Alligator mississippiensis: one gene and its partners. Each later gene encodes a partner of the first gene's protein in a complex. Links are inferred from orthologs where the notes say so. Each region holds a gene or a part of one and is shown on either strand. Other genes may lie near its edges. The genes, in order: AURKA, TPX2 and TACC3.

Region 1 (8,152 bases):
TAGCTTTAATATAAAGGGCTGATGAAATTGAATGTATTTGTCATTCCATATCCCCCACTCAGGCCTCAAGCTTACACAAGACATCAGCTTACAACACACTCATGTAAATAAAGAGGTTTTACCTGTTACCTTTAAAGATTCTTTAAAATTCTCCAATGAGACATTTAAGTGCATTTTTGCCTAGCTTCAATATTTTCTCTAGGGTGTGTGGGTGTGTTGTTATTTTCTTGGGGGGACAGGGGGTTCCCCACACTTCAAGAAGGTGGGACCCCTACCCACCCTCCAAGCTGTACAGCAGGGGTTGACATCATTTTTGGCTGGAGTGGCAAAAACACCCCAACCCGGACCCCACACCTCAACTTGGCATGCCAGGGACGGACCACAGGGGAGCCGGTCCTCTGCCGACAGCAGCTGCATGCATGCCTCTGGGCAGATGGTGGGGGAGGGGTATAGGGCAGCACAACCCCAGCCTCTCTCCTGCCATCTGCCCAGAGGCACACAAGCAGCCAAGAGCTCTGGAGCCTTATGGAGCCATCTAAAGCCTCACCCCCCAGCTGCCTGCCACAGCCAGCTTGGGTTTCAGGCAGCTGCTACCAGCCGTGGAGCCCAGGGTGCTTGCAACATGGCTTGCAGCTTCCCAGCTGTCTGCTTCAAGTGGCCCATGGCAGCTGCCCAGAGCCTGGGGCCAGCTGTGATGTACCAAGCAAAATGGCCTCGCATGCCATACTCTGGCATGCATGCTGGGGGTTGTAGAGGGTCTTAGGATGTTATTGCTAAAGATACTTTTCATTTTTTAAATTGGTGTTCTCCCTTATATCCAGGTTTATTCAATAGGAGAGATGCCATTTGGAAACACTGCCAATGACAAAGTCTGTTCTTCCTCAGCATGTATAGAATTGAAGCATTTTCAAGTACAAAATAATTCACTGCATTATGCCAGCCATTATCTCACACTGTCACTTTGCCTAGCAAGTCAGAAGCCAGAATCCAGTAAGGTTAGTTTAAGAGAAAGTTGGAGTTGCATCCTCTCTGTTGTATCCTTTATACAACAGGATATAAAGACTTCCCCCCAAACCGTAGTTCTTTCAAATTACTTCCTTAAACATGTTTTGTGTAAAGTCCACTGTAACTTAAAAATAGATGCAATTTTAAGGGATTGCCATGGCAGAGTATAAAAGCATAAAGACTCCTGTTACATGTAGACGAGTTCAAACTTTGTGTTAAGGTGATAGAATTCAGGAGGCAATAAGTTCAGCTGCTTATCTTGCTTGAAACAACATATCTTTAACTACAATTCTAATAAGTTGGGGGGGAGGGGGTTTGTTGGTTTGTTTGTTTTTTACCTAAGATGAGACTGTATTTCTACTTCCCTCCTCAGCTGATGCTCTACTCCAGCTTCCTCCAGCTGAGATTTAAACAGCACCTTCAGTGCCAGAATAAATTTGCTTTGTTTTTCACGAGCCAGATATACATTTCCAAACTTCCCTTTTCCCAGAGGGCGGCCGATTTCAAAGTCATCAAGAGACCACTGCCTCCTAAGAGAGGAAAAAAAAAAATATAGTTAAACTGCTAGAATACAAAAGGCCTGGAACTCTTTTTTTTTGTATAAATGTCCATGGAGTTATTCTGGGTTAAGATTTGTATCAATTTAACCAAGATCAAGATCTGGCCTCAAAATCCAATATATTTAAACTGCAGAATACTTTTTCTACACTATTTATCCTTAAATGCTAAGAGTGAAATTCTAACCCAGTTATCACTGACAAGCATTTTAGACTTCTGGGTCTAGGTTCCCAGTTAACACACAAAAATACTAGGAATGCAACTTACTTTTTAGTCTCTTGATTTTTCGGTTTAGAAGTACCTTCTTTTTCAGGCTGGTTTGCTGCATACAAAAAGTTTCAACACCTTAATTAATCAAACCCACAAAACACAACTGCTACAACTGTCAGCTTTTACCATGCTTTTTCTAGATTCCAAGTTTTGGGTAGAATGATACTTCTATTATTATAATATTATATCTATCAGCAAGGTACCTTACCATCTGTGGCTGTTAAATTTTAGTCACTATTCTGTTATGGGGACAAGCAGGTAGCACCCTGCTAGTTGGCCAATGTTATTAATCCAGAAATAATTCTGTGTAGGTTCATACTACCCAACATTTCAACCATCTTCCTATGTGAATGTGATCCTCTTATATGGAAGAAAGTCAGGATGTAAGATAAGTTACACAAACCTGATCTATAGAAAATAAGGGTCAGGTCTGTTAATTTGCTGCAGTCAACCAGTTTAATGATCAATCTTTGAAAGTCTCCTGGGTGTCATGTCAAGATGAGATAGATGTGTAAATGAATCTATTTACCAGATACTGGGACATGATGAGGCTTTTCATTATTATTTGGAGCTTGAGGCCTAGAAGATGTTTGAACTACACATGTCGGCTGAGGCTGCTGCATCCGCTGATTATGAGACAGTTTCTGATTAGACGCTGCAGTCTTTGGAGCTTGTGATGGTACAGGAACTCGCTGAGCCAAGTTTGAAGGACACAAGACACGTTGTGCTTGGGCTGCGCCTCCAGGGACTCGACTCTGAGGAAGCTGAGAGACGGGGACTCGTTTTGGGCCATCCCCAACGTGGGCTGGAATCTAAACAGACACACAAGACAAGGCAGAAGCACTAATTATTGTACTGTAACTCATGAAGTTCATTTTCCACCCTCGCACAACCTAATTTAGCTGCATTTCTCCCCATTAGCCTACCAATGGAAAGTAAAAATTTAAATCGATCTGAAGTGGGGACAGTACCACATTCTCAGACTGTTTTAAGAACAACATAGGCCTCCATAACAGAGCTATTAACACCTCTGCTACGCATTACGTACATTATGCTGCCCGGCCTCATACACAGGCAGGGCGAACACTTGGAGAAGGCAGGGGGGCCTTCTGTCGAGATGACCAGAAGGGGTTATCGCAAACAAGGACCAGGATGAACTGGTGGAGCAAAGAACAAGGCCTTTTACCTTGACACCATGTGTGGGCAGGCCGGGGCGGTTCTCTTTCCGGGTTCTGTCCATGCTGCCTGAAAAAAGAGAGAGTTCAAATACAAGCCAGCCTGGCCTGGAGGCTCAGATCAACCTCTCCAGCAGGTCCATCTGCCCCTCCCCCCTCCAGACCCATCTGCCCCCTCTCTCCAGGCCCATCAGCCCCTCCCCTCCCCACCACTCCAGGACCCCTGCCCCCCCACTCTCTCCAGGCCCATCTGCCCCTCCACCCCCCACTCCAGGACCATATTTCCCTGCCCTCCTCCTCTCTCCAGGACCATCTGCCCCCCACACGCGGGGATCCCAGGAGCCCTCCCAATACCCCCATCGGCCCTCACCACCACCGCCCCACACCCCACCGCGAGCGCTGTTTGAATTCAAACCTCCCTCCCCGTAACAGCCTTTAAAACCGCCGCTGCTCCCTATTGGCCCGCTTCCCACCACGCTGGCGCTCTGATTGGCTCCTGCTCCACCCTCCCCGCCCGCCCATTGGCTCACGACTGCTCCCGCCCCCTCCCGTCGCTCTCAGGCCGCGGGTCTCCAGAGCGCCTGCGCGGTAGCGTGAGCCGCTTCCAGCCCCTAGGGCGGTGCCGACGCAACGTGCGTAGGTGACGTGCCGCCCCTCGGCCGCTTTTCCCCCCCACCCCCGGCGCGCGCCAACTGCGTAGATCGGCGAGACAGTTACGTCGGTTTTTCCGCCAGTTCTCGGCCTCGGTTGGTCTCTCCTTACGCAAGTCGCGTAAGCCCAGACCACCCACCCGTGGCAGCGATGGAAGTGCCATCCCCGCCGCCCGCCGCCCCGTGAGGCCGCGGGGCGGGCAGTTAGCGGGGCAGGAAGTGCCTCAGGTCAGTCCTGCCCCCTGGCTGGGAGGCGGCAGCCCCCGGCTCCTGGCAGCGGGGGGTGGGGGGGGCTGCGCTGCCCCCTCAGGGGAGGCAGGAGGGCACCGGGCCCGGGCTGCACAGGCCGCACGGGGCAGCTGTGCCGCAGGCCGGCGTTGAGCGCTCGGGCGCAGCCGTGATACATACGAGCACCACGAGGACGTCCGGAGGCCCAGCCGCAGCGTCGCCCGCTCGACGCCTCCCGCCTGCGGGCACCCGCGAGTGGCTCCGGGTCCCACCGGCCGCCATCGCCCGACGGTGAGCCCAGCCGAGCCGGCCCGGCGGAGCGAGAGCAGCCGCAGAGGTAGGTGGCGGCTGACAGCGCCGTCGCCCGACAGAGCGCGGGGAGGCGATCCCGGTGCCGGCAGCGAGCGCCAGGATGTCGGGCCGCCGCCTCGTCCCAGCCTGCGACAGACGCCCGCTGCCACGGGGCCTGGGGAACATGGGCTCCCCCCCCATCGACCCGCGGGCCCTGCGCCTGCCCTTCCTCGAGGCTGACGTGAGTACGGCTGTCCCTTGGGGCGGGCGGGCGGGGGGGGGTGCCCAGGAGGAGCCTGCCGCGCCTGAGACTTTGCTGCCCGGTTGAAGTGGGGAACCAACCGGCGCTGCCACGAAAATCGGCGGGAGCCCGCGCTTGCCCGCGGTGTCCGGCTGCGGCAGTGGCCTAGCACCAAGGGGGCATACCCCCAGGCGCCGGCTGGGCCCTCCGGGGGGTATTCGGTCCCCTGGCGGCACTTCCTGTTTCGCCACCGTTGTTTCTGGCCTCGGCGATCGGCCGCCTCCTCCCACTTGGCGATTGCCTGTGGACAGGCAGGTGCAAATGTAAGCATTGGTTCCTGGGTGCTGGAGACCCGTGCTACGCCAGTGGTTTGCACGGACGCGTGGCGGGACAGACCCCGTACAGGAGCACCTGGCAGTGACGGCCCTAGGGGAGGGCAAATGGGGTGACTGCACTTTAGGGGACGCCTAGAAGTTTGCAACCAATGTCTGTGCTTACAGGTCATCCACATTTAAGCCTCCAAGGGGCCCCAGACGACCCGCTGGCCTGCGGCCCCAACACCCTTAAGGCCACCATTGCACCCAGGCTGCTCCCTGAGACCCCACCTGCCCACAGCTGGGATCTGAACCCACTACCCTCAGGCCTGGGCTGCCCAGTCCCCCACTTGCTGCCTGCCCAGGAGCCACAGCAGCCTCTGCTGCCCTTCATTCATCTCCACCAGACTCCCTTCACCCGCAGGGATCACGAGACCCCTCTGCCCATGCTGCCCCCACCCCCCAGGATCGGGCCCGCGTGTTGGACGTGCTGGGGGAGCCCATGGACGGGTCACGTGGCTGCCGGGCGCGGCGGGGTGCGCGCATGCGCGTTGACGCGGCTGTCCCTTCCCTTCCCTCCCTGCCTCCCTCCAGGGCCGGCTCCCATCGATGTGCGGGCGCTCGATGCAGCTGCCTTCGCGGCGGAGCCTCCTGCGCTCTCGGCTGCTGCTGCCGCCGCCGCCTCCCCCGCCGCCGGCGCCTCCCATCGATGTGCTCAGGGCTCCGGGCGCCATTTTAGGCGGAGAGCGAGGGAGGCCGAAGGAAGGGTCGGTAGGTACCGGCGGGCGGGGCTGCGCGTGTCTTGTCCCTCCCCGGCCCGGCTCGGCCGCGCTGCCCCGGGAGCCGCTGGGTGCGGCCGCTGCCGCCCTGGCGGGCGGGTTTTCTTTCCCCGCCCTCCTGTGCCGCGAGTCCCCCACGCCCCCTTCCCGCCCGCGCGGGCCACGGCGCCCCGGCCGGCTTCTCCCTCCGCTCCTGGCCCCGCGCCCGTCTCGTCCGCGGAGCGGGGTCCTGCCGGCACCGCGGCTGCAGACGGCGCCGCTGCCGCTCTCCTGGCCCTTGGCCTTTGTCAGCCTCGCATCGCAGCCCCACGCATGCTGGTGGCCAGCGCGCTCCTCCGCTGTCACTGCCGTCGGGAACGACTTTGTCATCTCTTCTGGCACCTTGGTTTTTGGCCTCCACTTCGGGTTGCAAACTGAGCAACTCTTCCCCCCCCCTCCCCCCAGTACATATAAGACCTTTTTTGCCCTCTACTTTTGATTGCAAGCTGAACATGTCTCCCTCTTCCCCCCAGTATATATAATACCTTTTTTGCCCTCTACTTTTGATCGCAAGCTGAAAATCCCACCCCCCCATGCAATACCTTTTTAATTGACTTTATCTCCATTAAGGAACTTTGGAAAATGACATGCGGTTCACTTTTCTATGAAAGGCAACGCCAGTTCAGTCCAATTTTATTTTGTGATTTTTTTTTTTTTATCTTTGTTTCAGGCCCCTGCAAGGCAGTCCTTGCTCGCAATGTATAGAACAAAAGTGAGCTTGAAAGATCGTCAGCAATTGTATAAACTGATTATTAGTCAGCTGCTGTATGATGGATACATAAACATTGCCAATGGCCTGATAAATGAGATAAAACCACAGTCAGTCTGTGCACCCTCTGAGCAGCTGCTGCACTTAATTAAACTAGGTAAGCTGTAAATTTTAATGTCAATAAATGAGGAATTTTGAAATTCAACTTTGCTTACAGTGCAGGTACACAGTGGTCTCAGTCTCTCATGCAAAAATCACTCTTAATGATGCTCTGTTGTTAGTGTCATGGATGGCATTGATCCTGCTTTGATTTAGGGTTTAGATTGGATGATTTTCCAGTGTCCTTCTATCCCTACGTTTCTCTGGTTCTGCTGTGGATAGGAAATATTAAATGCAGGGCTTTCAAAAGCAGTTTGGTCTTTTGCCACATACAAGAATGCTTATCCAGTACCCTGAATGTTTTGAAAGCCTTCAGGATCATAATACATGGGTTCATTGAATGTACCAGATCAAAGCAAAGCATGTGGTAATAAAGGTCATAGAAACTGACATAACCAGTTCCATATGAACAACATAAGCTGTACTCAGCCCACATCTCCTTGCAGAGAGTGGACAAACCATGTGTCCTGTTGTGTTTTGAAGGCTGGAAATGTAAACTGCTTTAAGGATTTTGGAAGACAGTGGGATCCAAAGGTCCAAGGCCACAAAAGAGGCAGCCCTGCCACTCCCTCTCTAATGACATACCTGCACCTAGACTACAGCATAGCATCAAAACAGCTGAACTATTCACATCCTAAAAGCAGCTTAGCCATAGCAGCATGGAGTTCCACATTGGTTAATTTACTGCAAAATGATTAACTGCGCCGTTACATCAGTCCGATATCGGATTAGAACTGATATAAAGAAAACTGGCTGTATTGGAAATCGGCTCAATGTGGCCAATAATTTGGCCAATAAGTGCTCATGTATGTGCATAGCCGCAACGCAGCACTCAGGCAGTGAGGAGCAGAGCTGCTCGCAGCTGGTAAGTCTGATGTGGTAGAAGGGGCTTTGGGGGGGCAGATCAATGTCCCCATGTGTGTGTCCATCCGTCCGTCCCCAACATGGTGAGGGAGGGGGCAGATGGGGCACGGGCCAAAGCCACAGCTCCTCGTGGTGGGGGGGAGGAGGGGATTGTTCCTGCCACTGCTTGCACCCCAGGAAGGCATGTGCCCCCGGATCTGTGCAGGGCAGGTGAGCTGTAGCTGCAGGCTCTTCTCCATGTGAGCTGGGCTCGGGGGTGGCTACAGAGGAGGGTAGCGTCCCATGCTCTGCCCTGGCTGGGCAGCACTTGGCCTTGCCCCCCCTCTCACCATGGTGGGGTGTTGATATTCCCCCGCCCTTTTCCTCCCCTCTACCACAATGGACTTACCAGCTGTATCAGAAATTGGATTGATATCAGCTGATACGCCTCCTTAATTTTAGCTATTGGTATCTGCCCAAAAAGTCTCTATCGGTGCATCCCTAGTTAACGGATTGAACTTCATCTTGTATACCTTGTGCTATATGTCACAGGAAGTATGTCTTGAGGAAGGGCAGGTAGGTCCTAAGTCACTTAGCGTCTGCTGGAATAGGGGCATTGCATACCCTAATGTTGCTTATCAGGTCAGCATTCAAATCTGCTATAGTACAGCCTGTTTGACTGGACAATACACAGTGTGACTGTACAGCATAAACTTCATGTTTGGCAGCAGACATTAAGCAATATCTGCATTGGAGTATGCAGCATAACAGAATTTTTTTTTATAGAGATTGTGCTGTAGTAGGATCTAGAAGTCTCAACAAGGCAGTGACCATATTTTAAAAATAGCTTTGATCGAAAGACTTTACCATTTTAATAAGCTAAGCAAAAAA
Region 2 (7,456 bases), about 8.3 Mb from region 1:
CAGTTGGGAGAAAGACTGTGGAGTGGACTAACTGCCTAGGAAGGTCTTGCAGAATCTCCATCCTTGGAGGCTTTCAAGAGGCTGGAGAAGCTATGCCAGGAGTGCGCTCTAAAGAGCAAATTTGGAAGACCAGGAACCCTGGTTGGGGTATCGCGAGAAGGGCTCTGCAGTCCAGAGCATATGGGTACTGGAGAAGACCAGCGAGCCAAGAGCCTCTTCCCTTCCACTTCGGTTCAGCTATTTGTATACAGGTGTCTACTGGGGAAGGGAGGAGGCTCTCTGTTCGCTAGCAAGAGAATGAAGCAGAACTCCAGAACGGGCTTAGCGATAAAAATTGATAGAGCTGGAATAAGTTTATGGAGAAGACGGGGTCATGGAAAGGAGAGTTCTAGCTGCAACATGTGTGGGGTTTGCTGTCCCCAGTTGCTGAGCAGAGTGGATGGGGGTGTTTTCTCCAGGCTTCTGGGCTTTGCTGGTTGCCACACAGGGCCAGGAAGGATTATTTTTCCTTTCCCCCCTGTCCTGTGTTGGGCAGGGACTGCCTTCCTCAGCCACACTGGATGCTGGCTACAGTAGTAGGACACTGGCAGTGCATTACCTGTGGCAAATTACAGTTTGGGGGCAATATACCTTGTAGTTTTGTGACAGGGTTGTTTGTGTAATTTTAAGAACAAGCTAGGCAAGCACTTGTCTAGGTTGGGTCAGAAAGAGATGATCCTGCCTTGAGCAGTAGACGACATCCTGAGGACCTTTCCAATCTATTTTTCTAGGATTCCATGACTTGCACAGAAACATTTGGGGGAAAAGTGCCCAACAAGATTCTTTGCATTGCCACACTGCCCAAGAGCAGAGACAGAACAACAGCATTTCAAAGCTTCACCCTGAAATTGCTGCTTAAAAGGAGCATTAGTATCGTGCTTTCAGGGCAATTTGACAAGTCATTCTGGAGACTCACATTCCTCCTAACCACTAAATATTCATTCCTACCCAGCTGTAAGGTATACTTTTAAGATACTTAAAGGTAAAAAACAAACAAACAAACAACCCAAAACAAAACCATTGCCAATGATTTAATTTTTAAGACTATTTTAAGGACTCAGTTCTCCCCACCTTGCAGCTCCCAGTCTGATTTATTCCTGTGTAGAGCAGTTGAAAACAGTAGCAAATCAGAACAGTTACTCAATCACAAGATTACACAGTCACACACAAAAGCCAAAACAAAGCCAGATGGCTCAATTATAACAACTGCATTAATGTCCTGTTTTGCAGGCAGCAAGAATTTCAGATGGTAGCGCACAATCACCACTGCGAATTTACAGAATCACAGAACTCAAATGGTAAATTAAGGACCATTACTTAATGGCTTGCTTTATTCTTCTAATTCTTGTTTGGAAGACTAGGTGCTACACCAGTTAAAACAGATCATACTTCATGCCAAATGGGAAGTATGCATTCACAACAAAAAAAAAGCACAAAAAGTCACAAATAGTAACTTTTGAGCATGACTGTTCTTATATTGTTCTTTATATAATATACTAAGAATATACCTGTTCTCTAAAGCAGCATTTTCAAAATATAGGGCAAGCACCCTGAAAAGTTCCTGGAAGGCAGGACCAGAGTTTAACAGAAAGCAAACAAACAAGCAAAATATGACTCGACAGCACTGAACAAAAACTGTCAGCTAAAGGTGATGGTAAGGAGAGAAGTGGCCAGCTTTGCTGTAATGCAGCATGGACCCCAGAAGTTTGGGAAATGCTGCTCTACAGAAGTCCTACCGTAGTGGACACCAGTGCAGGTCTATAAGGGATGCCACTCAATGGACTCCATGAGGATGAAGAACCCCCGATCTTGGTTACACCCGTCTCCATCACCTCTCTCTAGCCTACAGCAACACAGTACACCTGGCAGGAAGCCATCAGCTCTTAGGAACTCCAGCCAGCAAAGAACAGGTTTCTCCTTGTCATGAAGGCCTATGTGAACACACCCATCCTGCCCTGCCCTTTCTGCATTGGCTTCCCGGGGTAGAGCAGTGCCAGGCTCACCATCACAGCTGTTCAACAGTGGAGTTGTTAGCTGTGTGCTCTAGGTGATCTTTAGATGTGCCACAACTCCTCTGCTTGGAGTTTCTCACCAATAGGGTCCAGCACACTCATGCAGGACACAGCACTCCCCCAGGACCCAACTGAAGGGTAGGCAGATGTGTCCAGAACCAAGGCCCACTCCAAGCCCCCTGTCCTTCTCCCCATTTGTGTCTACAGTGACCACTGACTCTCCCTATGCCTGAAGGAGGATATTGGTACCCAAAAGCTTACAAAGAACATTTTTTCCAGCTATTTAGTTGTTCTAAGGAAAGATATCGCATGTACCCAAAGAACTTTGTTTTTCAGTCCCCATACAGACACCATGCAGCTTACACACTAGAAACCAAAGCAGTCCTACCCTGCCACTGCATTGCACACGCTTCACCCTGGGGCCAGGGGGAGGAGAGAAAAGCAGAGCAGCCCATGACACACGTTGCTCAGAGAATGCCAAAGTGAGCAGGGCACCAGGGCAAATGCACAGCACCTTGATGCACCCTGGGGTAAGGCCAGAAAGGGGATGGGTACAGATTATGGTGGGGTGGGGGGAGGGGGGGTCCTGCAGCTCCCTGCCACCCAGGCCAGGAAGGGGATGGGTGAAGATTATGGTGGTCTGGGGGGGGGGGGGGGGGGGGGGAGGGCAGTTCTGCAGCCTCCTGAGCCTGACCGAGCGTCTCTACCCCTCCCTTTCTCCCCTCCCCACCCAACAGCATAAGAAGGACGCGGGCCCTTTAACACCAACCCGCCCATTCCCCAGTGCAGCCGAGAGGGGGCGCCAAAGCCCTACGCTCTGACGTAGCCAACGTCCTGCACATGCTCACTGGGTCAACAACGCCCCCACCCCCTTCTTGCGCATGCGCCACTACTCACCCTCCTACCCCGCCCCGGAGTGGCGCATGCGCCCTCGGGGCCCCAAGCCGGCACGGCCCTCGCGCATGCGCACTCCCCTCCCTCAGCCGCTGAGGAGAGCGGCTGCCGCTGAACGGGCGATGGAGACGGCGGCTGGGGGCCGCTGAGGCGGCTCGGGGCCCTGAGGGGCGGCCGTAGCGCCCGCTTCCGCCGGGGGAGGGAAGGGGTAGGGGCTGGGCCCTTCAACGGCCTTTCAGGTGAGGGCGGCGTGACGGACACGGAGGGCAGCCAATGGGAGCGCGCCGTCCGCGGGTCCCCGCCCCCCCGGCCGCCTCCCTGCCTGGGATTGGTGCGGAGGCGGGGCACAGTAGTTCCCCAGCCACGCGAACGGGGATGTCAACCCCAGCAGGACCCCCTGGCTGGTTGCCATGGAGACTGGGGGGGGCGCCCCCTGGGCACCCACACCAGGCCACGGTGCCCTCTCCTTCCAGCGTGTGGCGGCCGTGGGCTGTCCTCGTAGCCTCCGCTCCGGGACAAGTCTGCGCCACGGGCGGCTCACGAAACCCCCGACTCACCCTCCTGGGTGGGCAGCGGAGGGCGCCGCGAAACCCCGGCTCGCGCAATGCGAAAGGGCCCCACAGCGCGGGCGCTTCGCACCGTCTTCGGACACCTGAACGTCGCTCCACGAAGAGCGGACTGGAGCCCGACTCCCTTGGAGGTCGCGTCTCCGCCTGCACCCGAGGGACGCCGCAGAGCCCCAGGGAAACTCCGCCGTCTCGGTCCCCGGTGGGAACGTCCCAGCAGGGGAAGCGAGAGCAAGGCTGAGCTGGCACGGTTTCAGCGGGTGTTGGGAAATCCCACCTGGGCTGACAGAGGTCGAAAAATCTCTCAAGATTCCCCTATACGAATAGCCGAACCAACTGCATGGTCTTTTAAGGCAAGCCTTAGTTTTGTATCTGCCACCCTGGCGCTGCGGTGAGGAGCCTTCCAGGGGTGCCCTAGAGAGGGAGAAGCGCTGGCATGTATTGAGTTCCTCCCAACATCTGCCCTTTAGCAGAGATGAGTAGGGAGGGACTTGGAGAGGGTGGGGGCGGGGCTTGTGCCTTGGGGGCGGGGAAGGGAGTAGGCTCTCTGTGTCAAATTACTAATTTGAAGTGTCTCTGCAGCTGGTCCAGGAGGCGCAGCCTGCTGAGATTTCCCAGCCCAGAGTTTTCTCCCTGCAGCTCCTCTCTGGGGGTGAGTACAGAAACACACATGCTCCTTCCCCAGCACGAATCCAGAGAGCCTGTGTGTCTGTCCCTGGTGCACCCGGAAAGGGCGAGGTGGGGCCACCCGGCGTGTCCTCTGCCCCCAGGCCTGAGCATGGGGTGGAAATGGGGCAGAGAGCAGCTGCTTCCAGTGCAAACACAGAAGTGAGGACAATCCTGTAAACAAGGAGTGCTGAGATGCAGGCAAAGCCAGTGCAGAGGCTGCCGGTCCAGTGCATGCTCTGTGGGGAGGGAGCTCTTAGCTCTGAAACAGTAAGGTTTGTTAATAATCTGGTTCCAGAAAAATGACTGCTTAGAATAACATTAGGGGTAAGTCACTTCTCCACTACAGAGAGTGTCTGTGGTGTACTGGGAAAAGAACGTATCTAGGACACACTTCCTCAGGGGCATTTCTGCTCCTCTCTTATGCCAGCGTAAGTCTCTGGAATGCTGGGGTTTCCCTCAAAATGCTGCTGGGCGTTAGATCTTGTCTTTCCTTATCTGTGAGTGTACATGTTCCTCCTCCTACTGACCTATTAACTATGTAGGTAAGTAATACTCTGTAGATTAATAGGCTTCTAGTTTTTCCCAACTTCTTAGGAGCACTACAGCTCTTTTGTGTTCCTTCCTTTGCCACTGTTCTTGAGAGGAGAGGTTTGGGGAGTGAGCCTGTAGCTCCTGGGATCCCACTGAAATGCAAGGGGTCCATTGTAACACTTCCCGAGGTCTGGCCAGAGGAACTGCGTACCTTCAGCACACCTGGGAGCTGGTGAAACTTGACCCGGGGCTAATCCTTTCCAGAAGGGAAAATGGAAAATGATGCTTTAAGCTTCAAACAAACTCCCTTGTGCTGGCTGCCAGCTGCTATTGTTTCAGAGCCTCCTTCATTGTTGGGAAGAGCTTTATGATAGGTGTAAGAGGGGGCCTCATTGTTCTTTTAATGTGCCATTGTTGGTCAATAGAGCACAAGCACATATTTTGAAGGCCTCACCCAGTGCTGGTCCCTTTAAAAAATTCAGGAAGAGCTTTGATCCTCTATGGGAGGCGGAGACCGAGGGGGCGTGAGGCTGAGAGGGAAGGAGGGAGGGCCTTTTGCTTCTCTGCTGCAGAGCTGCAGCACTCAATCAAGGTAATGGAGGAATAGGCAGAGGGTGAGATCCTGGGGCTTCAGGGCCTCGCTGTGCTTTCGTGTTTCCAGCATGCAGCATGGCATGATCACTTCAGCCAGAGCTGCTTTTCCTTCTGAGGCTTTGCCTGAGACAAGGCAGAGCTGGAGGCTGGAGACTGAGCCTCCTAGACCTTTAGCAGAGGGGGTAGACCCCCTAGACCCTATGTGGAGCTACATCACAAAGGAGCTCTCAAGCTGTACCTGGACCATGTAAGGCGGCTGAATGGGATGTGTTGCGCATGCATGCGACTTGCAGTCGTTTGTAAAGCAAATCCAAGGGGGCTTAGCCTAGTTGTTGCTGAAATGGATGTTTTGCTGCCAGTTTTCTGGGCGACTAAATCCTGAAGCCTGAGGTGTAGCTTCAAGGATGCTTGCTTTCTCTGAGCAGTAAGAAGCTGCTGTTGTTAATGCTACAAGTGGAAGTAAAATGCTGCATTGCTAATATGTTCTTGCCTCTTTTTCTTCCCTGCTCTCTAATTGTCTGCTCAGAGGTCAGATGCTTGCACAGATCCTGGAGAAAAGGAGAGTCTGGACTGGGTAAGCACACTGGTGTTCTGGACCATGGACTCGATGAGAATCTCCCTAGTGTGAAAATGTCGAGCAGCAACCGGGAATTAGTGATTGACTTTATATCCTACAAGCTGTCACAGCGAGGACACAGCTGGAGTCAGCTTGAGGGGCAGGATGAGACCAGGACTGAGTTTGCAGGAGAGGAGGACATGGCAAGTGTCCCGAACGGGAGTCCGTCCTGGCATCCCGCTGCCAGCCACGTAGTGAATGGGGCTGCTGGACACAGGAACAACCTGGAAGCCCAGGAGAGTGTTCCGGCGGCTGAAGTGCGGCAGGCGCTAAGGGAGGCGGGAGACGAGTTTGAGCTGAGGTACCGCAGGGCCTTCAGTGACCTCACATCCCAGCTCCACATCACCCCTGGCACAGCATACCAGAGCTTCGAGCAGGTGGTGAATGAACTGTTCCGGGATGGAGTGAACTGGGGGCGCATCGTGGCCTTTTTCTCCTTCGGAGGGGCCTTGTGTGTGGAGAGCGTCGACAAGGAAATGCAGGTGCTGGTTGGACGTATTGTCTCGTGGATGACCACCTACCTGACCGACCACCTCGACCCCTGGATCCAGGAGAACGGCGGTTGGGTAAGAAGCTCCTTCTCCAAGGGAGAGCTCCCCATTCTCCTCTGCCTTGCTAACAGCATTGCACATCCTAGCCCTTGTCCCTGGTGCCCAGGGTGGAACAACTGGTGCAGGGCCTTTCCCATTGTGTTCTTTGCTATGAAGGGTCACTCCATTGTGGTGGAGCAAGGGGATGCTACCCAGGCTTGCCCTCTGGTGGGCCCTTTTCATCCCGCTGTCTTGCCTATCTCCTTGGCCATTCTGTACAAAGGCCTGTTTCCCAGAGCCTTGTGCACCTACAATCCAGGCTTTGTCTGAAACAGAAGGCCCATCTCTTAGGTCTGACCTGGAGTGTCCGTGACCCAGCCCAGGGCTGAGCCAATTCTTTGTTCAGTTGGGACCTCTTAGTGCTAGGCCTGGACTGTTTGGTGTGGTGAGGTCTGAGGCAATGGAAACGGGAATCCCTGGTCTGCTTCATTTGCAAGTGAAGTGTGCTAGAGATTGTCCTGCTTCCTGTGGGCCTCTGCATTACCTGGCAGCCTGGCCCTAGATCAGCAGAGCGTTGCAAGGTAGCACTGAAGTGCAGAGTCAGTGCAAACAGCCTGCTGCTGCCCGCTGGATCCTGAGCAGTGTACGCAGGGTGCTGTCCACAGGCTTGTATGAATGTTACTGCGTGTTCCAGAGACATGCTCTGGTAGCGTCTGGGCTGCCTGAGTTGTGGAAGTGCTTAGGCCTGTGAGATTTTGCTGTGGAATTTTGCCAGGGGGAGGTATTATGGTCTGCGGATGATCTTGCTCACTATTTACTCCCACGTCCCTGTGATGTTGCCTGTATTAGTATTTGCCGAGAAGGGAGGACACAGCGCCAGCTCCTGGCATTTAAATAGAGGAATATCACACCTTTGCACATTGGTGAGCCTGTGGCAGTGGGGAAAAGCTGCATTCACCTTAACACCTCTGTAGCCATAACCACTAATCCCTCCCCAAAGCTCTG
Region 3 (7,362 bases), on another chromosome or scaffold:
AGTCTCTGGGGCCTGACTGGTGAGGAAAGCGAATCCTCCAATCATCTTTTACCCCTTCAAAACTCCTGGGCCAAATCATTACCAGATTGGTGAGGAAAGGGAATCCCAAGTCCTCCAATCATCTTTTGCCCTTTCAAAACCCCTGGGCTAGGTCACTGCCAACTAGCCCGTCACATATAGAAAGCATAGAAAGTTAGGGTTGGAAGGGACCTCAAGTGATCATCTAGTTCAACCTCTGCTCAAAACAGGACCATCCCAACTAGATCAGGCCAACCAAGGCTTTGTCTAGCTGGGTCTTAAAAACCTCCAAGGATAGAGATTCCCTCACCTCTCTGGGTAAGCTGTTCCAGTGTTTTACTACCCTCCTAGTGATAAAATTCTTCCTAATATCTAACCTAAACCTCCCTTTCTCCAACTTCTGTCATCTGCCACCACTGAGAACAGTCCAGCTCCACCCTCTTTTAAAACTGCCCTCCAGGTAGTTGAAGGCTGCAATCAAATCCCTGTATGTGTCTTCTCTTCTCTAAACTAAATAAGCCCAGTTCCCTCAGCCTGTCCTCATAAATCATGTGCCCTAGCCTGCTAACCATTTTTGTAGCCCTTCGCTAGACTCTTTTGTTGTATTTTGAATCATTAAAATAACAGTTTAACTGCTACTGGCCTTTCAATTTGCCAGAGGAAGTCTAGCTGAATTACAGACATGGTCAGTGGAATTCCAGCAGCGCTGAAGATAGCAAATTACTTTAATTCAACATTTGAGTAAGATCTTACCTGCATACATTAGATAATGGCTGTAAGTGCTATTCTATGGTCTATTTATACAATTATGCTCCTGTTATACTTGTGATATTACTGCATAATTGGGTGTAGAATGGGATAGAGCTAAGGCTGTGAAAGCCATCACTGAGCTTTCTGTACAATGTATACAAAACTTCACCATTTGTGTTGGGTTTGAGCACGGGATAGTTAAGTACAAGTACCAGTCTGGGATTGCTTTCTAGTGATGCTCTTGAACAGGCAGTCAGCTCAAGTTTTTCAGATCAAGTGCATGCACCCAATCTGAAGCTAGAAGAGGCCCAGTTGAAATACTAGACCCCGCTTCAGGTTTGACAGTTTAGGCCAATGTTGCAGCACCCTGGGTTGCCTTGAGATCTTTTCAAGGGTGCCACACAATGTAATCACTGCTCGGCGTGCAAGCCCGAGTCAAGATAAATTCACCCAAAGAACCTTGTCTAAAATTTCAAATAGGAACCCATAGTATTAAAAGCACTCTCTTCTGTTGTGGTCTTTCCAACTTCTTTACAACCAAAGAATGACTCTATTATTTCTCTGTAGTCAAAAAACAAGTAACAACCAAGAGCTGGCCTTTTCCAATGGGTGCCCTGAGACGAAGGAGACTGTCTAGGAAACAACAGACAAAGCCACACACAAATCCTGAATGCTTAAGGTTTGCAATGAGTTTGCAGCAGACACGAATGGGATTATTGTACTCCAGTACTACTAATCCAGTTATCTGGGCAACAAACAGCATACAAGTATTGCTGACATTTTAGTCTTAGTCTGCCTTTGTGACCAATGTTTAGACCTTTAGTCATGTGCAGTCTAAACCCTAACTAATGCTTAAAACCTAATGAGAGCGACATAGGGCTCATGCACAACACCACAGAAAGTCTCAAAGTAGCATTGGAGTGGTCCTGTAGCTGGGATGGTCCTGGAAACACGAGTGAAACACAGAGTTTTTGACAATATTTCTTGATGTCCAATACAACTCAGATCACATTTTGCATAGAAAAACTTAGTATTTGGAAAGAAAACTAACTACAGCCAACATGGTTTCAAATGCAGCGCTGATACCCTTGGCAAACGGGCAGTCTGTAAATCCCCAATGAATGCAAGGCCTGCTGCAAGGATTCAGTTATTAGTGACACACGGGATTGTATTACAACAGGGATATCAAATTCTTCTGGCCCCAAGGGCTGGATCAGCGCCATTTCCCCATCCCCACGCTCCTTGCCAGATCCAGGGCACATGACCCCTGCTCCTGCTGGTCTGGGACCTGGCAGGAAGGGGATCAACATCCTCGGTGCTTGGCTGCCACTGGGTGAGGAGGAACGAGCCACAGGGCTGTGCTGGGGGTCTCACTCACCGTGGCTGTCACTGTAGGGATATGTCCCATTGAAGTGAGAATTGGGGAAAATTGCTATCTGGCCCATGGGACATGTCTGATACCCCTCTACTTTGTTGTGATTTGCACAACAAAGAGCACATCCCAAAGACACTCTCATGGACCCAGAGGGACAGATTTCTAGCTTCAGCCTCCCCTGTGCAAAAATGAAGTTGATTTCCTACCGATGGGGACTTTTTACCATCTTTAACTTTCCCTGAGCCTGATGAAGGGCATGTGAGCCCAAAAGCTTGCTGAAAAAAAGATTTTTTTTTTGCAATTTCTCGGTTGGTTTAATAAAAGGCATCATCTCAGAAGCAACAGTTCTGGATTTTTTGCATTTCTTTTTGTCTCAAGCCAACATGGTGACCAAATACACTACAGCATTTGAGAAGGACATCTCAGGCGCCTGGGACAGAAGTTTCATAAACTGGTTTGACCCAAACCAGCTAAGTCTGATACTACATTCAACCCGGTTTATCTTAAACCAGTTCCAGACGTTTTGAAACGGGTTGATGTGCATTGAACTTCTGTTCCGTTAGAGGTTTAAACCCGTTTTTGATGACTTAAACTGGTTCACGTGTAACTTCTGTCCTTAGCCCAAGGGTGGAAATCAGGTAGGACGAGCAGCAGTCAGCACCTATGGGATCACATCCAGCACGCTTAACCGTTTTGAAAAGTTTATGCAATTTAGAGAGAACCCTTAGATTATTTTGCTAATTAAAATATTAGTCATAGAAGTCAGACAGAAGTCGGGCTGGACGGGACCTCCAGGGGTTATCTCGACCGGCCCTTGCCCGAGGCAGGCCCCACTACAGAGGAAGGCAACGTCCCCCTGCATCTCACGGGGGAGACATCCCTTCCTCACCACAAACAGCCCTGGCACACTGCCCTCCTCCACCCCTTTATTCACTTTTGTGACAGACTTGTGCATAGTTCATATAGAGTTGATAGTGTGCAAAAGGCAGAAGTGTGTGTGTCCTTGCGAGGGAGAGTGAAAGAGTACATGTGCAAGGGGGGGTTCGCGTATCTTTGTGTGTGCATATGCAAGGGCGAGTGTGCATGTGTCTTTGTGTGCCCGTGTGCAAGAGGAAGAGTGTGCAAGACAGGGGAATGTGCGTGTCCTTGCGTGCGCGTGTACAATAAGGGGGGGCGTGCGTGTGGCTTTGTGTGCGAGTGTGCAAGAGCACGTGTGCAAGGGGGAACTTGCCCGTGCATGCGAGCCCTGACCCGGCCCTACCTGCCTGCCGAGCGGCCCTGCCCGGCCGGGTGCCCGAGCCCACAGTCCACCTCTACCTCCACCTCAGCCCCGCGCGCCGCCGCCGGATTTCAAATTTCAACGGCGCCGCTCTCGCCAATGAAAGGGCAGGAGCTGCGAAAGGCCGTGGTGATGCCTGTCTGAATGGACCAATCAGAGAAAGGTAGAAGGGCGGGACAGCCGAGCACTCAACCAATAAAGATGTTCCGGATGCTGGAAGCAACCAGGGGGTGGGGTGCTGCGTGAAGCACGCTGGGAAATGTAGTTCGCGGGGCTAAGGCCACTGCCCTGCTCTTCTTCCAGGAGTGAGAGTTAACCCTGGAGGAGCAGAACGAGGTCCTGAACCACGTGATCTCGGGGAAAGCAATGAGAGGCTAACATTACTAGAGAATTAAAGACGAAAAAAACCTGCTTGATTTAATATAAATAATTTTTTTCTGCTTTCTTCCAAAGACAAATGTGTCATATTGAATGAACTAGTTTGAATGTTTGTAATGGTTGCCCATTAGCCAGTTTCAGAAAGAAGATAAGATTTATCTCCTTATCTAGGTCATTGTTTTGGACTACGTGTAGAAGATCCAGACTTTGCTTAAAGTTTTAACTCTTGAATTTTATCTTTAGAAGTCTTTAACAAAGAGAACCTGAAAATGATCCTTAAAGCAAATATCCTGAGTGCGGAGAGATCTAACCCTAGGGCCTTTTCGAAAAGATTGGAAAGAAAAGGTCACTTGCAGTGATATGGAAGTTCCCCAAAGTCATTAGAATTTTCAAGAAAGAAACTGATTACCAAGCAAAAGAATCTGTTGAGTAAGATCTGAGCCCAAATTTGGGGGTAATGACAGGTTTGAGTAGGAGTGGCCCAGGACGGTAACTCACTCAATAAAAACCGTAACTTACTCTCCCAAATTGGAGGTGACTATACTTGCAGAACAATGAAGGAAGAATCGCAAGCGTAGACCGGATCAGACTGATCACCTGAACCACCCTCTCCGTGAACACGAATCTCTTAGTTCACGCTGAAGCTGCAGAGCGCCCGAAAGGGACTGAAAGAAGGGGACTTAGTCCTATCAGTATTGAGGCCAGCCCATTGAATTGTATTGCTGAGGCGAGCCCATTGAACCGTACTGCTGTGGCCAGCCCATTGAATCGTACTGCTGAGGCCAGCCCATTAAATTGTACTACTGAGGAATGAAACCATATTTAGGTGTTTGGCTTCTCGGAATTCTAGGATTGTAAGTATATTATGCAAATAATAGTATTGATTCAAGTGTAACTTTTAGTTGTAATTGTAGTTGTTTTTGTAATACTAATTCTTAAAGCATTGTTTGAGAAGGAAGCGCATTCGGAGCATTGTTTCTGATATATGTAATTATTGTGTTCTTAATTTTTGTGGTATTTCTTAAAGCTAAGCAGTGTTATATGCGTAGCAAAGAATTTTAAAATAAAATTGTGTTGTATGAATTAAGTGTGTAATCATTGTGAAATCGTGCAATCAATACTTCCCCAGCCAGTGCATCAAAACGAATCAGTAAATTGTGTGGGATTTTCTCTATTCCATAACCCACTAGAGACAAAATGCTGCAATGTTTCCTGTAGGGTGCTGGACGTGCCCCATAGCTTTCTGTCTCAAGCAATACAAAATATTGTTTTAATGTAACGTCATTTTCCAAATCATGATCTTGCCTCTTACAAATATTACTTATAGACTCATCACTCCAATGCTATCACTGCACTGTCATTATTCTTCCCTAATAACCTCTGCAAGCAAATCACAAGTTAAAAACCTGCTGCTCTTAGTCTGTTTTAATTGCAGATTTACTGTGAAACTTGCTGCGCTCCAGCTCTTGAGTCAGGAAGGCGGCTGCATTAGCCAGAGACCGTGCTACAACTATAGAAACAATTAAATCTCTTAGGCTGAAGTGCCCTACAATGAAATGCTGCAACCTCCTTTGCAAGATCCACACTATTTTGGTTTAAATATGACTTTATTGGCAAAAACAGGCACATGAAGCGTTAGTAAAGTGTACAAAGAACCAAGAAATCTGTCCTCCATTTGCAATGTTTCAGCCATCTGCCAAGATGCAGATCCCTAGAGTGTTTGTGGTTTTACTCTCTGTCCATTTGTTGTTAATTTTTAATTCATGACAAGTTAGGGCCCCATGAGATGCTCTCTGTCCTCTAGGGTGATGCAGTTTTCCTCTTTAATAGGAAGCCTCAGATTATGGCTGTTTATCCTGAAGTGCAGGCTGTGTGCCCAGCGCTGTTGAAGACAAAAAAACCCTAATTTCTGCTGTTATTTTTATGACCAGTAGCCACACTCAAGGAACAAGGGCTAGAAGGGACGTCCAGAGGTCATCTAGTGCATCCCCTTTCCTGAGACAGGATCAGCCCTATCCAAACATCCCACGCAATCCATAATCTAAACCAGGCGTTGGCACCGTTTTTCGGCAGAGTGCTAAAAACACCCACAACCTCAACTTGTAAGATGTTGGTGTGACAGGAGCAGATGGCAGGGGAGCCATGAGGGGTCCAATCCTGCCCTGGTCCCTTCCCCACCATCTGCCCCGAGTGCATGTGCCAAGCAAAATGCCTTTGCAAAATGCCACACTCCAGTACCCATGCTGGGGGTTGCCTAACCCTGATCTAAACTCTACTCAGGATGCCCACCCACACAGACGTGACACCCGAATCTGCCACGCATAATGCAGGGAAACCACAGCACCAACATCCTGCTTCTATGAAATGTTGTCAATACAGGCTCAAGACACCGGGGTAGAGGGCCTCTGCACCCCAGTTGGTCCCCATCTGACCAGGGGTTAAGTTCTTTCCTGACCCCAAATGGTCCGGGCACATTTCCCTTTTCTTCTCCTACCCTGCATCTTCCTCTCCCCCCCTTTTTTTTTTCTATCCTCTCCCCACTTAATTTTTTGTGACAGATGTGTGCATAGTTCATACATAGTTGATACATGTGTGTGTGTATGTGTGTAGGTATGTTTGTGCATGCATTTGTGCAAGTCTGTGTGCATGTGTGTGTACATGCATTTATGTATGCATGTATGTGCATGCTTATGTCTGTGTGCATGTGTGTGCTAATGTGTGTGTGCACTATGCATGTGCATGTCCATGCTTATGTGTGTGTTGGTATGCTATGTGTGTGTACATGTGCATACTTTTGTGTGCCTGCACATGTATGTGTGCATGTGCTGGCTTGTATGTATGCATGTGTGTTGTGTGTGCATGTGCATGCATATGTCTGCATGTGTGCTCTGTGTGCATGCTAATGTGCGTCTGCATGTGTGCTGTGTGTGTGCATGTACATGTGCCTGCATGTGTGCTGTGTGTGCATGTGCATGCTAATGTGTATCTGCATTGTGTGGTTATGTGTGTACTATGTGTATGCATGTGCATGCTAACGTGTCTGTGTATGCTCTGTGTGTGCATGCTCATGTGTGTGGTTGTGTGTGTGCTGTGTGTGCATGCTAATATGTGTCTGCGTGTGTGTGGTTATGTGTGTACTGTGTGTGCATGTGCATGCTAATGTGTGTCTGCATGTGTGTGGTTATGTGTGTACTATGTGTGCGCATGTGCATGCTAATGCCTGTGTATGCTGTGTGTGTGTGTGTGTGCATGCTAATGCGTGTGTGCATGTGCGTGGTTATGTGTGTGCTGTGTGCGAGCGTGTGTGCGTGCTTATGTGTGCATCTGCATGAGTACTCTGCGTGCGTGTGTGCGTGCTAATATGTCTGTGTATGCTGTGTGTGTATGTGTATGCATGCTAATGTGCCTGCATGTGTGCGTGTGCATGCTAATATGTCTGTGTATGCTGCGTATGTGTGCGCATGCTAATGTGTCTGTATGTGTGCATGTGCATGCTAATGTGTGCTATGTGCGTGCACGTGTGCATGCTAACATCCACGCGTGCGTGCACCGGTGCAAACCC

The links.
Region 2: the proteins of AURKA (region 1) and TPX2 are in contact, whole or in part, in a crystal structure (PDB 3HA6), measured with the Homo sapiens proteins. The link is inferred for Alligator mississippiensis from reciprocal best matches to the Homo sapiens genes AURKA and TPX2. Residues at the interface, in NP_001310232.1 of Homo sapiens: Lys125, Arg126, Gln127, Trp128, Asp132, Glu152, Gln154, Ser155, Phe157, Leu159, Lys166, Glu170, Gly173, Glu175, Leu178, Arg179, Val182, Glu183, Ile184, Ser186, His187, Leu188, Arg189, Tyr197, Gly198, Tyr199, His201, Val206, Tyr246, Ser249; in NP_036244.2 of Homo sapiens: Gln3, Lys5, Ser6, Ser7, Tyr8, Ser9, Tyr10, Asp11, Ala12, Pro13, Ser14, Asp15, Phe16, Ile17, Phe19, Ser20, Ile31, Asp32, Trp34, Phe35, Glu36, Lys38, Ala39.
Region 3: the proteins of AURKA (region 1) and TACC3 are in contact, whole or in part, in a crystal structure (PDB 5ODT), measured with the Homo sapiens proteins. The link is inferred for Alligator mississippiensis from reciprocal best matches to the Homo sapiens genes AURKA and TACC3. Residues at the interface, in NP_001310232.1 of Homo sapiens: Leu130, Phe133, Glu134, Ile135, Gly136, Arg137, Tyr148, Leu149, Ala150, Arg151, Ile158, Val163, Arg205, Tyr207; in NP_001428248.1 of Homo sapiens: Glu523, Ser524, Phe525, Arg526, Pro528, Val531, Leu532, Gly533.

What each region holds. Positions count from the first base shown.
Region 1 is NC_081832.1:9,930,665-9,938,816, reverse strand, and holds the start of AURKA (aurora kinase A), read right to left. Parts: upstream 3,470-8,152; 5' UTR 3,424-3,469; exon of another isoform or gene 3,379-3,423; intron 3,079-3,378; 5' UTR 3,074-3,078; coding exon 3,020-3,073; intron 2,646-3,019; coding exon 2,363-2,645; intron 1,886-2,362; coding exon 1,831-1,885; intron 1,536-1,830; coding exon 1,344-1,535; intron 1-1,343. Other genes in the region: CSTF1 (cleavage stimulation factor subunit 1), read left to right, coding at 4,299-4,418, 5,327-5,503, 6,221-6,416. UniProt on the Homo sapiens protein: Mitotic serine/threonine kinase that contributes to the regulation of cell cycle progression.
Region 2 is NC_081832.1:1,644,145-1,651,600, forward strand, and holds the start of TPX2 (targeting protein for Xklp2), read right to left. Parts: upstream 3,040-7,456; 5' UTR 2,949-3,039; intron 1-2,948. Other genes in the region: BCL2L1 (bcl-2-like protein 1), read left to right, coding at 5,936-6,487. UniProt on the Homo sapiens protein: Spindle assembly factor required for normal assembly of mitotic spindles. Required for normal assembly of microtubules during apoptosis. Required for chromatin and/or kinetochore dependent microtubule nucleation.
Region 3 is NC_081825.1:17,675,629-17,682,990, reverse strand, and holds the start of TACC3 (transforming acidic coiled-coil-containing protein 3), read right to left. Parts: upstream 3,508-7,362; 5' UTR 3,405-3,507; intron 1-3,404. UniProt on the Homo sapiens protein: Plays a role in the microtubule-dependent coupling of the nucleus and the centrosome. Involved in the processes that regulate centrosome-mediated interkinetic nuclear migration (INM) of neural progenitors.